Linked DNA regions of Saccharomyces cerevisiae S288C. Changing the gene in region 4 together with the main gene of any one other region gives a genetic interaction. Each region holds a gene or a part of one and is shown on either strand. Other genes may lie near its edges. The genes, in order: MGT1, MRPL19, GPH1 and PEX9.

Region 1 (2,691 bases), on a different chromosome or scaffold from region 4:
TGCAGGTTACAAATTACGTGGAGGATAGAATTATTGCCTTAAGGAACAATACAGCTTCAAAACATGGATTTCAAAACATTAATGTCTTGAGAGGTAACGCTATGAAATTCTTGCCCAACTTTTTTGAAAAGGGCCAGCTTTCTAAAATGTTTTTTTGTTTCCCCGATCCTCATTTCAAACAAAGAAAGCATAAGGCAAGAATTATCACTAACACCTTGCTGAGTGAGTACGCATATGTTTTGAAAGAGGGCGGTGTCGTGTACACAATTACAGACGTCAAAGACCTGCATGAGTGGATGGTAAAACATTTAGAAGAGCATCCTTTATTTGAACGGTTGAGCAAAGAATGGGAAGAAAACGATGAATGTGTGAAAATAATGAGAAATGCCACAGAAGAAGGTAAAAAAGTGGAAAGAAAGAAGGGTGACAAGTTCGTCGCTTGTTTCACAAGATTACCAACGCCAGCCATATTGTAACATAGATGTATAACTAGAACAATTTACCACATATACATAACTATTTCTTATGTTTATTTTCCTAAAATCCTTTATCCAACTACAATCTACTAAGGCTTAAGCTATTTTCCTTTTCATTATTTAATAACTGTTCTTTCAGTTTACAGCTCCATTTATATCCGGTTAATTTTCTATTGCTACCAACGATTCTATGGCAAGGTACTAACAATGCCAGGTTATTTGAGCCGCAAGCTCTTCCGACAGATCTTGCGGCAGTTGGCTTCCCTATTCTCTTTGCAATATCACCATATGTTACGACGTGGCCGTGTTCCACGTTTAAAAGCTCATTCCAAACTTTACGTTGAAAATCTGTTCCAAACAGGAACTCAAAGGGAATAGCGCCCGATGGTAATGGCATTTTGTTTTCTAAACATATTGTATAATTTTCGATTGATTTCTTATATGTTTCTGCCTCTTTTAGTTCCTGTAAATCGTACATTGTATCCTGTTTCTCATGTTTCTTCAAGAAGCCTTCCACCTTTCCCAATAAAAAAAGCTTATCATTACCTAACGAGGCAAAAACAAGGTTTTGAGTCTTTTCCCTAAACACCAAAAATGCACCAGTCACTTCAGTTTCAATGAATGTATAGTAAAGCAGTTCCTTCATCGTTGGTCCATTTAGATCAAAAATGCGACCGTTTTCAATTTTTTTTTTGTGCATATGCTATATCATTACTTGATTAATCTTCCTTGTTTCCACCGCATTTTAAATGCCCTGCCAGGCCAATAGCGCCGTGCCTTTTTTCTAATGACTATAATAAGAATATGTATGTAGGATAAAACTAAACATTTATACTTAGGATGAAGCAAATATTTTTATGAGGCCATACTAGGCAACTGCCATGTCTCCAGGCGAATTCTGGCCTCCACCTGAACTGGGTTTATTCGCAGCAATGTTGTCGCTGATATTTGGATCGGTTCTGTTATGAAAACTGAAAAATTCTCCAGTCCTTGATGGTCCTGAATCAGATGTAATGAAATAAACATTTTGTGCAGAACCGTGTGTCTGGTTCGATAAGTTTCCGTTTTTGGGTAGAATCTGCTCATTTTGAATAGATGAATAGGCTTGATTATTTTGTTTGATACTACTTCCTAGAGTGTTTATCTGATACGCGGAAAAAGATGGTGAGGAGGAGAATTCAGAACCGGTATCGTCAAAAACATCATCATGGTTACCGCTACCGTTTCCGGTAGAATCATCATCAGAATCTAACCTTTCGTCACGGGTTTCTATAGGAAAAATCTTCAGCACAAATATAATGGAAATAAAGGAAGATAAAGATGGAATAAGATAAAACTTCCAAGACAGACGGTCAATAAGTATAGGGGTTATTAAGCTGACGAACCACTTAAAAATCCAATAAAAGTTTGAGACTAGTAGTATCACTGGGGCCTGTGACAAGTGAGGTAGAAGCTCAATGGTCATAACCCATCCTATAGAATCCCAACTGATGAAGTGCGTAAAAAGAAAAACAGCAAATAGTATTGATATATACCTCGTTGTGCTCTTGGGAAACCAGTCTGTAAAAGATATGGTAAATAGCAATGCACACATCACAATCGAACCTAAGAGTACATTCGTTTTCTCTTTACGTTTCCGTAACACCAAGGGAACATATGCTAATATTACGATGCTGTAAATTAAAGCATTAAGCCCCGTTAAATAGATAGATTTTCTTTCTCCTCTCCCCATTTGTTGTAATATTAACGGTGAGTAATACAAGAAAGCATCCACTCCATTTGTTCGTGTGAGAAGTTGGAAACCTATCAACAATTTTATTATTGAAGAAAAATCCTTTAAGATATACGCATATGGATAGGAGTTTTTTTGAAGGTGTGACTTTAATAATATGTCTCGTTTCAGGACCCTAAATTTCAACTGAGTTTGGTTTTCTTCGAAATTTCCATCATCGAAAACATTCGATATTAAAACCAATGCCTCTACGTCGTTCTTTTGCTTCAACAGCCACGAAGGGGACTCTAAAATAAGATAGAACGACATTAGGTTTAGTATTATTCCAAGTGCCACATGTGTTGACAAAGGGTATCTCCATGCAAAGCCCAAATATCTGAAAGCACAATTAATCCATATTCCGAATGAATACGCAATGACACTAGAGACGCATTGAATGGAAATTAATGTCCGTTTTCTTATACAGGGAAGGGGAAACTCGAA
Region 2 (2,705 bases), on a different chromosome or scaffold from region 4:
TATCTCCTATACACGAGGCTAACTCCAAAATCGGTTCCATTGCCATTGGCGAAATCTGCCATGGCCACTGGTAATGTTACCTCTAAATCCAAACAGGAACAGGCTGTTAACGAACCAAATAACCGCCCATTGAAGATTAATAGCAAGAAAAATAACAGAAAAAAATGGAAAAAAAATAAAAAAAGGAAGTTCACCAAATGAAAAAACTCGATATTCCTGGATTTTCCTCTTTTCATAGGCATTTTTATTAGCATTTCATTTTTATTATACCAAATCAATATATACATATAAATATCCGGTCTTTATTGACTTATAAAACAACTCTCAGTATACAGAGTTGGAGAAGCGTTTACTCAGAATAGCTTCAGTACTACCGAGCTTTGCTAACATAACGGGAGAAAGAGAATTTAAAACTTATATACATATTTACAGAATAGATCAGTAGAAAGAAGAAGGAAGGTCTGTTGAAAATTTCTCGAAATTGACGGTACTTTTTTGTCTTTTCACTACTTACAGATCAAGGTACAACCTTAATACCCATACTTTTTGCAACGCCAACTATTGATTTAACAATACCTTCCATCTCCAATAAACTATGCCTTTCATCACTCTTTTTTATCTTGGCTATTTCGTAAACGTGCTTCAGCGATAACTCTCCTAAAGCACGGGTTGGTCCCTTGGCAGGTGCACTGCCTAACATTGTCCCCACATTCGGTTGTCCATGTCCCTTGTCCATTTTAAGAGCTTTTAGCAGCAAATATCCGGTTGGTGGAGATTTCATTTCAAACGTAAATGTTCTATCAGGTTTTATTGTGATTAATACTGGAACCGGTACACCTGGCTGATAGTTTGCTGATCTTGCATTAAATTCCTTACAAAAGTCAATGGCTTTTATACCCTTGGAGCCCAATGCGGGCCCCACGGGAGGTGATGGTGCCGCTTGGCCTGCTCCTACTATTAGCTTTACTATCACGTTTTTTGCTGCCTGTGACATTATGGAGACTAATAGTTCCTCTATGGTATTCGAGAGTTCGAAAGTACAACAAACAGAAATAAATACAGAAGGTTACGCTGTCGATTTGAATGTTCACGCTTTTTTTCCTTCTTATGAGTTGTAGATTTACTGCACTTTCTAAAGCTTCTTTGCTGTGAAATTTTAGAAAAGGGAATTGTCGCCTTGGTAAGACAATTAATGTTACCCGCTTCATTATTATTAATTAGTGGCGCGATATTTTAACGAACTTTTCCATTAATTATTATCATACTAAGCTTTTACATTTTTCTGATAAAATAGTAGATTATGAACAGGAGGTCAATCTATTTAGGCTTCTATAGAACGGTAAAATATGAAATTAGTTTAACAGAAGTAAATATGACATTGTATTTTAACATATACTCAAATAGGATAAAAAAAGGTTATATACAAATGCTTGGAAAAGAAATAAAAGTGGGGACGCTTATTTATTGATTATTTTGCTTTTTCTTTTTCTTTTCTAGGCCTGCAATATGTGCTTCACTTTGATCCACTTGTGTGTGATGATGGTCTTCTCCTCTAACCACTTTGAACGATAATCCATCTTCAACCAAGTGGCACATATCAATGCTACGGATCCAAGGATCTTCCATGATTTCTTCGATATTTCCTCTGCATGCGGGCGCCAAATCAATCATACGTCCAACAATATGCTGAGTCTCTTCTGGTAATGAGTGCAACAATCTTTGTGGCCCGATATTAACATTATTAGGATCTGATACATTATTGGAAGAGCTTTCGGGTTTTTTCTTTTCTGTTGAGTGCGATTCATCGTAGGAAGGTGGATCAGGAGTTCTTGTAACCAAGCTACTTAAGGAGTCGCAATCACGTCCGGAACAAAATAGTTTGAATGAATTGTCCCTTAATTTCGGAATTTTCCATGGAAATTTCTTCAGTATCATACATGCAAAAATGATTGCAGAAGACCAAATATCTACGGGACGTGGGTCATACTTCGCAAATATACAGACTTCAGGTGCTAAATATGGATCACTTCCAACAATTCCACTTGCTTCCACAAGATTTTTTGAGAATGGATATGAAAATACCACAGCAGCACCAAAATCGATTAATTTTACAATACCTTTTTCGTTTATAACACAATTATCTAGCTTTAGATCTCTATGAGCTAAGCCGATACTATGCAAATATTGTACACCAGTAAGTATTTGTTTGAAGCAACAACAAATCTCTTCATAGGACATTTTATTACTCATTACAATAGCAAATAAATCGTATTCACAATATTCCATAACTTGGAGAATTCTATCATTTTCATACACGATTTCAATTGTTTCAATGATATTGGGATGATTCAAAGTTGTACCAATACAGTATTCTGATGTAATTTTCTTGACATAATCTCTTTTGGATTCATTTTCAAATTTAGTTCTAAACTCCTTCACTGCAAATATTTTGTTATCTGAAATTCTTTGAGCTAATTTGACAGAACCTCCTGCTCCAGCGCCTAAATCGGCACCGGTTTTGATGTACCTTTTTGAGAACGGAATTCCTGAACCGCCGTGACTATGAGAATAAATAGTATCTCCATTTCCGTTATAACTAGTGGAATATGAGTTATTCCCTGCGGCAAAATGAGACGATGAATGAGAGTGTGACGGAACGGCAATTCCGCTAGAAAGAGGTGATCCGTTCGGGATCACGTTGTTAC
Region 3 (5,253 bases), on a different chromosome or scaffold from region 4:
CTCACAGGGGCAGCATCAGCTTACGAGTAAACCAATAGAGAAAAAAAATGGAAGCTTTAAGGATGAAAGAGCGAAACCAGATGAGTCTAAGGAGTTCCAAAATAGTGATATTGCAGATCTATATTAGGTTATACTATTCTCTCTTCCTTTCTGGCCTCGTGGCTAATTACGGAAAGTTGTATACTGACTACTATGTAATCTATCACGTTTTGTCACTGTCTCGCTCTTTTCAAACAATCCATAAAATCGAAACTATTGTCAAAACGTCAGTACATCCTACCTGATAGGGACTGTACCAATGTCAACGTTCGAGTAAGTGATAATAAGGACCGCCTTACCCACCTTCAGGACACTCGGTTTTACACAAGCGTTATCCTGCGCGGATTTTCAATATGAAAACAACTAAGTTTTCCTGTAACATCATATATACCATTTAAAAGAGTGCCAAAAAACCGATAACGATTATTTTAAAGGCGTTTTATATAAGAGAAGAAGTAAAGAGAAAAAAGCGCTTACTAGAAATGGGGAGAAGGGTGCCAAAGAGATAAAAAAAACTCCCAGCTAAGTCACTGGTTCAACGTTCCAAATGGTATCGGAGTATTCCTCGATACAACGATCACTGCTAAAGAAGCCGACGTTTGCAACGCTCAGGACACTCTTTTTTAACCATTCTGACCTTTGATTGTGGAACTCCTGGTCCACTAATTCATGGGTGGCCAGATAGGATTCAAAGTCATCACTGACCAGGTAATAATCGCCGTGGTACTTAATACTGTCGACTAAAGGTTTGAATTCATTTGGATTTTCTGGAGAAAATTGTCCACTTTCAATGTAGGATAAAACAGAATCCAAACTAGATGGTAAATCTTGTGGATGGTATTGATGGTTGTATCTCAATTCTTCGACATTTTCACTTAGGTTACCAAACAAGAAGACATTATCTTCACCAATTTCCCTTGTGATTTCCACATTGGCACCATCAACAGTACCAATAATCAAACCACCGTTCATAACAAACTTCATATTAGAAGTACCAGACGCTTCAGTACCAGCAGTAGAAATATGCTCACTCAAGTCACTTGCTGGAATAATGATTTCAGCCTTAGAAACATTATAATCAGCAACAAAGACAACCTTCAACAAATGCTCAATTGACTCGTCGTTATTAACAATGTCAGCAACACAGTTGATCAATTTTATGATCAGCTTAGCCATGTAGTAACCAGGAGCACTCTTACCACCAAAGATTGAAACCTTGCGTGGATATTTCTTGGCAACTTCTTCGATCGAAGCACCGTTCTTCAGCATATTCTTCATTGCCAGGTAACGGTATATAATACCAAAGACGTTTAGCTGTTGACGCTTATATTCATGAATACGTTTAACTTGCATATCAAACAAGGTGTCGTCCAAATACTCTCTGTTAATGATGTCTACTCCATCATTTTCCTTTTTGATTAAATCTACTAATCTGATCTTATTATTAAGCTTGACTTGGTTCCATTTTTTCAAAAACTCCTTATCTTCAACATATTTTCCCAACTGGGTCAGTTTGGCCATGTCCAACAAATACTCCTCTGTTGGATCGTTAAGGGTTTCACTGATCAGTTTAGCCAATGAAGGGTTAGCTTGCTTCAACCATCTCCTTGGTGTGATACCGTTAGTGACATTGACAAACTTTGATGGACCATAGAACTTGACAAAATCTTTAAATATGGTCGTTTTGATTAATTCAGAGTGCAATTCAGCAACACCATTAACCTTGTGTGAACCAACAATAGCCAAAAAGGCCATTCTGATCTGTCTTTCTGGAGAGTTTTCTTCGATGATGGATATACGAGACAAAAGATCAACATCCTTGGGGAATTTTTTGGCCACATCTTGCAAGAAGAACCAGTTGATATCATATATAATTTCCAAATGTCTGGGTAGCAAATGGCCAAAGAGGCCGACGGGCCATTTTTCCAGGGCCTCTTGCATAACAGTGTGGTTAGTATAAGCAAAAGTCTTGGTCACGATGTCCCAAGCCTCGTGCCAATCTAGTTTTTCTAGATCGACCAAAACTCTCTGTAATTCAACGATGGCTAAAGTTGGATGAGTATCATTCAACTGAATAGCCACTTGGTCAGGAAATTCAGTCCATGGCCTCTTGGATTTTTTGAATCTTCTTAAGATGTCGTGTAAGGATGCAGCACACCAGAAGTACTGCTGTTTCAACCTCAACTCCTTACCTTGAGCAAAGTTATCGTTTGGATACAACACAGCGGTTATAGACTCTGCGCGTTGTTGCTGAGCCACAGAGTTTTTATAGTCACCATTATTGAATTTTGCAAAATCAAATTCTGTTGTTGGCCTTGCTTGCCATAGTCTTAAGTTATTTACATTGGAAGTCTTGAAACCCGGAACTGGGAAATCATACGCGACAGCAAGAACTCTTTCCCCACCGATCCATTGTGACGCACTCAGTGTAGTTTTACCGCCTTCTGGTCTATCAACATAACCATAAAAGGTGACAGGAATTTGCACTTCGTTACGTTCAATTTCCCATGGATTACCAGAATTTAACCAGTAATCTGGAGTTTCCACCTGGTAACCGTCAATAATCTTTTGAGCAAAGATACCATACTCATAACGTAGACCATAACCCCAGGCAGGGATGCCTTCCGTTGCCATTGAGTCGACGAAGCAAGCTGCAAGACGACCTAGACCACCATTACCTAAACCTGCGTCCGGTTCTTGGTCCAAGACATCCTCTAACTTGAAACCTAAATCATCCAAAGCCCCTTTAATCATTTCTCTTGGTTTTCCCTTTGAGGCAGCAGGGTCTTCCGGATCTTCAATCTTCATATTAATCAGGGCATTATCCAAAGCCCTACCCATCAAAAACTCCAAAGACAAATAGTAAACTCTCTTTGGGTCTCTTGTGGTGAATTTCTGCTGAGTTTTGTTCCAGTCAATGACCAAATTGTCACGAATACTCATCGAAGCAGCTTCATAAGCAGCCATGTCATCACAATTATATAGGGAACGTGCTAATGTAGTTTCCACATGGTCAATGAATCTATCTTGAAAATCTTCTGCCTTGTTAAATTTTTTGACTTGATGCTTATTCCATAACGCTCTTGACTTTAAAGGAATCATCGTGTCAATTGACTTGATTTCTTGGGGAAGAAACCCCGTAAGTCTCCTTGTAAGCCTTGGGATTTGGTGTGGAGAAGTAGGTTCTTCGGTTATCATATCATTGGTAGTACTAGTACTAGCTGGCGGCATTGTTCAAAATTAAATTAAGTTGAAAGCTGCTTTACTGAAATTGTAATGTAGAGAAGTCAAAAAAGATCCAATTGTTTTTCTTTTGGATATTTTTAGTAATCGTTACCTTCTCAATCTGTGCTTACTTTATATTACAATAGCAAGCAGAAAAAACTTATAATACTTCGTACGTAATCAAAACAAAAGGTACAACAAGAAACGGGAAGGCACAAAGAATCTTGCTTTACTGCTATACAAACTTCATGCTCCTTTTATACATATAATATATTCGTCGGTGTTCCTTCCTTATCTTTGTAGCATGCACATGGTAGTTATTAACCTCCCCTGAAACTTTTTTAGCGAAAATTATCCACCCCTTACTTATTTCCTCGAGAGTCTCTAAAAAGTAAAAATACAATAACGGTAATTGGGGAAGGCGTTCCTTGTTAATTCAAAATGTTATCCTTGAAACATAGAAGGTGCTGGCTGCATCTCGCAGAGCTTCCTCTTCCGTTGAGCGTTGTATTCTTCCCCCCACAGTGCTACTAGGCGATGCCGCTACCCCTTGAAGGGCCTTCCCGCTGTGGGGCAGCGGCCTTTTTTCCTTAGTGGGAAACAAGCACCGGGGTATATTTCATTGTCTATCAGGAGAAGAGATCGTATACAAATGTTCGTGAGACGGTTTCATCTTGACTAGTTGCCTTGCTAGTCGGATAACTAGTGGAAAGCAGTAGGACACTCCCGATGAGTTTGCGTTTCCACGGGGTTTGACAGAGCTACCTATTGTCTTTTTCATCGAAGGAAACGGTAGTTGGACCTTGCCTTGGATAAGTTGGTGAATCATCCAGAGCTTTAGAAGGGAGCAAAAAATAAAATCTGCGCAAGCCCGGAATCGAACCGGGGGCCCAACGATGGCAACGTTGGATTTTACCACTAAACCACTTGCGCTTGTTATTTACATGAGTGTGGTACTTCTATTGATGGTAGGTGTTCCATTACTTTTTTCGTCTTAAGATGAGCGAGCAAACACAGGGAGAAAATAAAGCGCAATTATTTACCTCATAGGGTACACAATATCCGTGAGAAAAGGATGAATTTGAAATAATTATACAGACTCCTTTTTTTTCAACGTAAAATTATAAGCATAGATTAGAGGCGCTCCTGGATAATAATAGGAACACACACAAGTAAATCAGCAATTTCTCATATCGTACTTATTCGGTAGAGTTAATAATATTCTACTAAAATAACTACTGGTAAGTAGTGAGAGCTTGATTTTTGTACTAATAACTTGTTTCAAAAAAAAAAACGAATAATCAGTTTTACAAAAATGTGTATACCTATATAAACAATCTTAGAGGTAAAGTTCTCCCTCACTAAAAATAATAAAAAATTACGTGCAGATGAGAACCCCGTCTTACCTTAGTATACCTTTAGTTCCCTTTATGACCCGATTTGAACGATAAGTCTTTTATATTTTATTTCTTCCTAAAAGAAAAATGTATGCATTGTAAGTAACTTTTTATGACCATGGTAATAATTAAAGCCGAGGGCTTGTAGATTTACCATCAAAATACCCGCTTAAGAGGATAACTTGAACTTCGAGCTAGTACATTTACCAGTTAGGATATTCTTAGGGAACGTGTAACCAGCATCTTCCCAAGTAGTTAAGTTTGCATTCTGGAATGCATTTAAGTGCGATTGAATATAATCATATGTTGGATAGTCACTTGGATCGCATGTCACGGATATAGCATTACTTGGTTGGTATATTCTAACATAGTCAATCGACATAACCACTGGGAAGAAAATATACTGCCAATCAATATAAGCCCAATTGTTGGAAATACCCAGATTTAGAATAATCGACATTGGTTCTTTACTGATTCTTCTCCAACCAATATTACCATCAGGATGTAAGGCTTTAGCATGAATAGTATAAGTTGGAGTATCACCAACAAACCAACGGATATAACCATTGTCGTCATCGTTCAGATACTCAAT
Region 4 (4,103 bases):
TCAATCTAACGTAGCCGACCGAAAGATTGACGAACTTGCCCATGAAAATAGAAGCCTGCTTGCATTAAAATCACCCAACCCCTTCAGGAAGAAAAGGGAGAGAGAAAAGCGAGACCAGATCTACAATTTGAAGTTAAAGCATCGTCACTTACAGCAAGAAACTATGAAAAGAGCCCAAGATTCTGACAAAAATTTAGCCATAAATCTAAGTTCTGAATATGGACGGTATGGCCAAGGGGTGGAAAGACAGCGTATTCTTAGAGATGCCCAGAAGTATCAGTTTGAAGCCGATGAAGAAGATAACCAAATGGAAATCGACTTGTACGGAAACCTAGAACAAATAAAAGCGGTGAGTGGTGACTTGAAAATTATGGCTCACGCTTTTGGCAGAGAGTTTGAAGCACAAAACACTAGAATGTTTGACATCGAGAACAATGTACAGCAGGCAGATAATGCTTTACAGGCCAAGCGATATAGATTGGAGAAAGTGATCGGGAAAAGATGGTGATCTGTTATACACACAAAATATCGTGTATAAATATATTGAATAAATAGTTTCTAAAAAGGCATACGCAGATATTCTTGCGAAAGAGAAAAAAAAAAGAGCGAGGGGGACATTAGTACTGAAGGTCTCAATTCTTCTTTGTATTTTCTTTCGGAGTTGTCAGACAAAGCTTTCTCTTTCCCATAAATAAAGTGCATTCAAACATCGGCAGGTTTGTTTTTCCCAGTTGTTACGTATTTGTTTCCCGTTCCATTCATGATCTTAAACTGGGTTAACTGAAAAATCAACATGATTTTGTGAAAAGTAAAAGAGGGTAAGAAAGATAGATACCGCTGTCGTGGGACTATATTTTTTACAGTACCAAGTCTACTTGCTTCTCATAAAGTTGATAAGTTATAATTCATATAATTTCATTTGTCAAAAAAGATTTTAGTTACAAAACGATATCAAAGTTCAATCTTGTTGGGAAAAAGGAAAACATTATGAAGGGTTTCCGGTAATCACTGCGTATGCCACACTATTCCTATAGAATTGTCTTGATTGGGTGCTTATGCTGCGGAAAAATTATATTCTGCGCTTGCCTTTTATATTAAGCGTCACAACGCCCTTACCAAGATCGAGCGGATTAAGACAAGAGTGTATCTCAAGCGTCCGTATATGTTTAAGTTGAAAAGGATATTTAGTAAGAATAATTCTACCCTACAAACGATATTAGTAAAAAAAAAAATCAATAATAGAGTTATTGTACAAACATGTTCTGAAAATTGGAAGCATCACATCGTATGCTACTAGAGAAAATTTTTACTATCCTTTTTTCCACAAGCCCAGCCCTAGCCCGATCATCCTATTAATTGTCAGACCACCGAATGCTATCCCGCCACGGTTGATATAACGAAACTCTTTACTGCTTTGGGTCAAATATGCCTCTTTTCCGCATTTTTTCGGAGTAGTTCATTGCCGCATACATACCGCAACTTGGACGAGGATGTCCTCCTTCTCTTACTTTTTTATTCGTTTCCAATTTGTTTCTCGTACCGTTCAAGTTTCAAGCCTACAAGAAATGTACACGACATGGATGCGTCAGCCTGATTCAGATATGACAAGATTGTTCCTGCGCATATGTGAATATGAGCGCACGCAATACATTGAGATCTTATTTGGGTTTGTAAGTGCAAACTTAATTTACTTTGCTTCCTGCCGGTTTTGATGTGCACCTGGGAACTTAAATAGCCGCCAAAAGAAAAGCAATCAGAGCGGCGCGGCGCAGACAAAACCCGAAGAGTTTCCTGGGAACGGTAGAGGCCTTGGTAGTACCTTACTAACGCCGGAGAGGATGATTGATACGCATTGAAATCGTACAGAAAACTTGGGGCAAAGCGCTCTTACCCCAATATTCTCACCCAAACAGTGGCAATAAATAAAGAAAAGGTCATCACTTTTTTTCGTACTCTTATCCGTTTTATTTTATTTTATTCTTTTTTTTTGAGTGGAGAATCATTAAGAATAAAGGGTACCTTTTGTAAGCACGATGAACGAAGTTACTTGTTCCATAACTGGTGACAACCCAATTCATAAGATCAACAATGGATTAGGCTTGAAATGGAATAATCTGGGTAAATTCTCTGATTTTCAGACTAACGATAGCGCCGCGCGAGATGCTAGAACAATAGATTACATCTTTACCAATTGTCAAACCGGCAGCAGTATTGGTAAGATAGATTTTCGGGCCGCACTACCGGCAGATAAATCTCAACATAGTGGTGTCAGCGAAAAAGAATTTTCAAGACTTGAGAACCAGTGGTCAAAGGAATTCTCTTGTTTCCCCAAGAATAAAAATGCTGATGTGACCAAGCCCAGTAGAAACAAACATGAGAAACGCTCCGCTAATTTGCACAATAGGTACTTTGCACAATATTATAGTACGGCATATCAGCAAAATCGTATATATCCTTGTCGAATATCTTACAATGAACACTCATCTGTTTCTAATGGCTGGGAATTTCAGTTCAAATCAATCGAAAATCAGTTACTAAATGAGCTAAAGATAGAAAACAATGTAGAAGAAAAAACTGTTGGTTATGAATATGTGGCAGAATACGAAGAAACAATTGATTTCATGCATATGCTGTCATCCGTACCACAAACATATCAATTCCTAAAATCAAACATCTACATAACGGAACGGGACCCATATAAAATAGGATGTGTACTAATGGACAACGGTTCCAATTTGAACGAAGTAGTAATGGCCTTTGAAGCAGCCATTTCACAAGATCCAAGCCATATAAATGCATGGTTGAAGTTAGGTATAGTTAATTTTGAAAATGAAAGCGAAAGCAATGGAGAGCTTGCTTTGCGAAATTGCTTAAATTTGGATCCAAATAATACAATTGCATTGGAAAACTTAGCAATTCACCATATAAATCAACAAAATGAATCAGAGTCATTGAAACTTTTTCACAAATGGATTCTTTCAAAATTTTCGAAGGTTTTCCAACCTTCTGCGGGGGAAAACAAAGATAGCATTAATAAAATTCCGAAAAAGGCCCATTTGGCGCATATTCTAGAATCCCTGTTGAATATGGGTATAGAAAAAAAAGATCAGTATGATATATATTCAGTATTATCAATCTTATATTATTCGGATCAGAAAATAAAGCAATCTCAGAAATGCTTAGAGTTTTTACTACTGGAAAAGCCCAATAATGGAACAATATGGAATAGATATGGTGCTATTTTGGCCAATACTAAGTCGTATCACTCTGCGATAAATGCGTACAATAAATGCAAACAACTAAGACCGAATTTTACAAGGGTTCGTTATAATTTAGCGATCGCCTACATGAATAAGGGTGACTATGTAAAAGCAAGCAAAATGCTAATCGAAGTTATACTGTTACGAAGTAAAGGATATGAACACAACAAAGCAAAAATGCAAAACAAATTTATGCAAAATTTAAAAAATGCTCTCATCGCTTCAAAAAATTTTGATTCACTTGATCTAATAAATGGTTCTCATAATACAGAATCGTTAATATCAACCTTAAAAGCTATTTATAACAAAATGGATTAGGTTTTAGTTAATTTTTTTGCTATATAGTGCATTCAAAATAAAAAAAATTAAAGCTGAAACAAACCAAATATGCTATTGGACGTTCGAAAAGCTAATTGCGTAAAGGAACACTAAACACAGCAAGCTTATGCTAGTTCTTCTCAAAAATATAAGTTCCTCTTGCAAGAATATGAAGGTAATTTCACTTTATCGCGCAAGTGCATATTTCTGAGTTTACTATGTGCTTCGTCTGAAACCTCTCATTATCTACTTAATATCGGCTATTCATCTCACGTATTCACGTAATATTTGATTTTTGTACTACTATTTCTCTCTGTCATACGTGCATGATACATTTCCTTGTTCAAATTAAAAGAGTCACCGTCAGCCTCTCAAAACAAAGAAAAAAGATACCCGGCTGAACATGAGTATCAATCATGAAATATATTATATACTTGTATTTGAGCATCGTTCAGTAGCAATCAAGCTCATCATCGTAGTGATTGTTCTCCTTCAGTTTTTTTTAGCACGAAGTCGGCAAATTGA

What was found.
Region 1: mutations in PEX9 (region 4) and MGT1 together harm fitness more than expected from each alone (negative genetic interaction), as found in Saccharomyces cerevisiae (one large-scale study listed by BioGRID).
Region 2: mutations in PEX9 (region 4) and MRPL19 together harm fitness more than expected from each alone (negative genetic interaction), as found in Saccharomyces cerevisiae (one large-scale study listed by BioGRID).
Region 3: mutations in PEX9 (region 4) and GPH1 together harm fitness more than expected from each alone (negative genetic interaction), as found in Saccharomyces cerevisiae (one large-scale study listed by BioGRID).

The regions. Positions count from the first base shown.
Region 1 is NC_001136.10:99,946-102,636, forward strand, and holds MGT1 (methylated-DNA--protein-cysteine methyltransferase), read right to left. Parts: upstream 1,123-2,691; coding exon 556-1,122; downstream 1-555. Other genes in the region: TRM8 (tRNA (guanine46-N7)-methyltransferase), read left to right, coding at 1-476; YDL199C (uncharacterized protein), read right to left, coding at 1,345-2,691. UniProt on the Saccharomyces cerevisiae protein: Involved in the cellular defense against the biological effects of O6-methylguanine (O6-MeG) and O4-methylthymine (O4-MeT) in DNA. Repairs the methylated nucleobase in DNA by stoichiometrically transferring the methyl group to a cysteine residue in the enzyme.
Region 2 is NC_001146.8:291,676-294,380, forward strand, and holds MRPL19 (mitochondrial 54S ribosomal protein uL11m MRPL19), read right to left. Parts: upstream 995-2,705; coding exon 518-994; downstream 1-517. Other genes in the region: ubiquitin-specific protease UBP10, read left to right, coding at 1-201; YNL184C (uncharacterized protein), read right to left, coding at 882-1,208; serine/threonine protein kinase NPR1, read right to left, coding at 1,462-2,705.
Region 3 is NC_001148.4:859,323-864,575, reverse strand, and holds GPH1 (glycogen phosphorylase), read right to left. Parts: upstream 3,271-5,253; coding exon 562-3,270; downstream 1-561. Other genes in the region: cyclin-dependent serine/threonine protein kinase SGV1, read left to right, coding at 1-127; YPR159C-A (uncharacterized protein), read left to right, coding at 4,161-4,262; beta-glucan synthesis-associated protein KRE6, read right to left, coding at 4,831-5,253. UniProt on the Saccharomyces cerevisiae protein: Phosphorylase is an important allosteric enzyme in carbohydrate metabolism. Enzymes from different sources differ in their regulatory mechanisms and in their natural substrates. However, all known phosphorylases share catalytic and structural properties.
Region 4 is NC_001145.3:308,175-312,277, forward strand, and holds PEX9 (Pex9p), read left to right. Parts: upstream 1-2,033; coding exon 2,034-3,578; downstream 3,579-4,103. Other genes in the region: SPO20 (Spo20p), read left to right, coding at 1-508; STB4 (Stb4p), read left to right, coding at 3,982-4,103.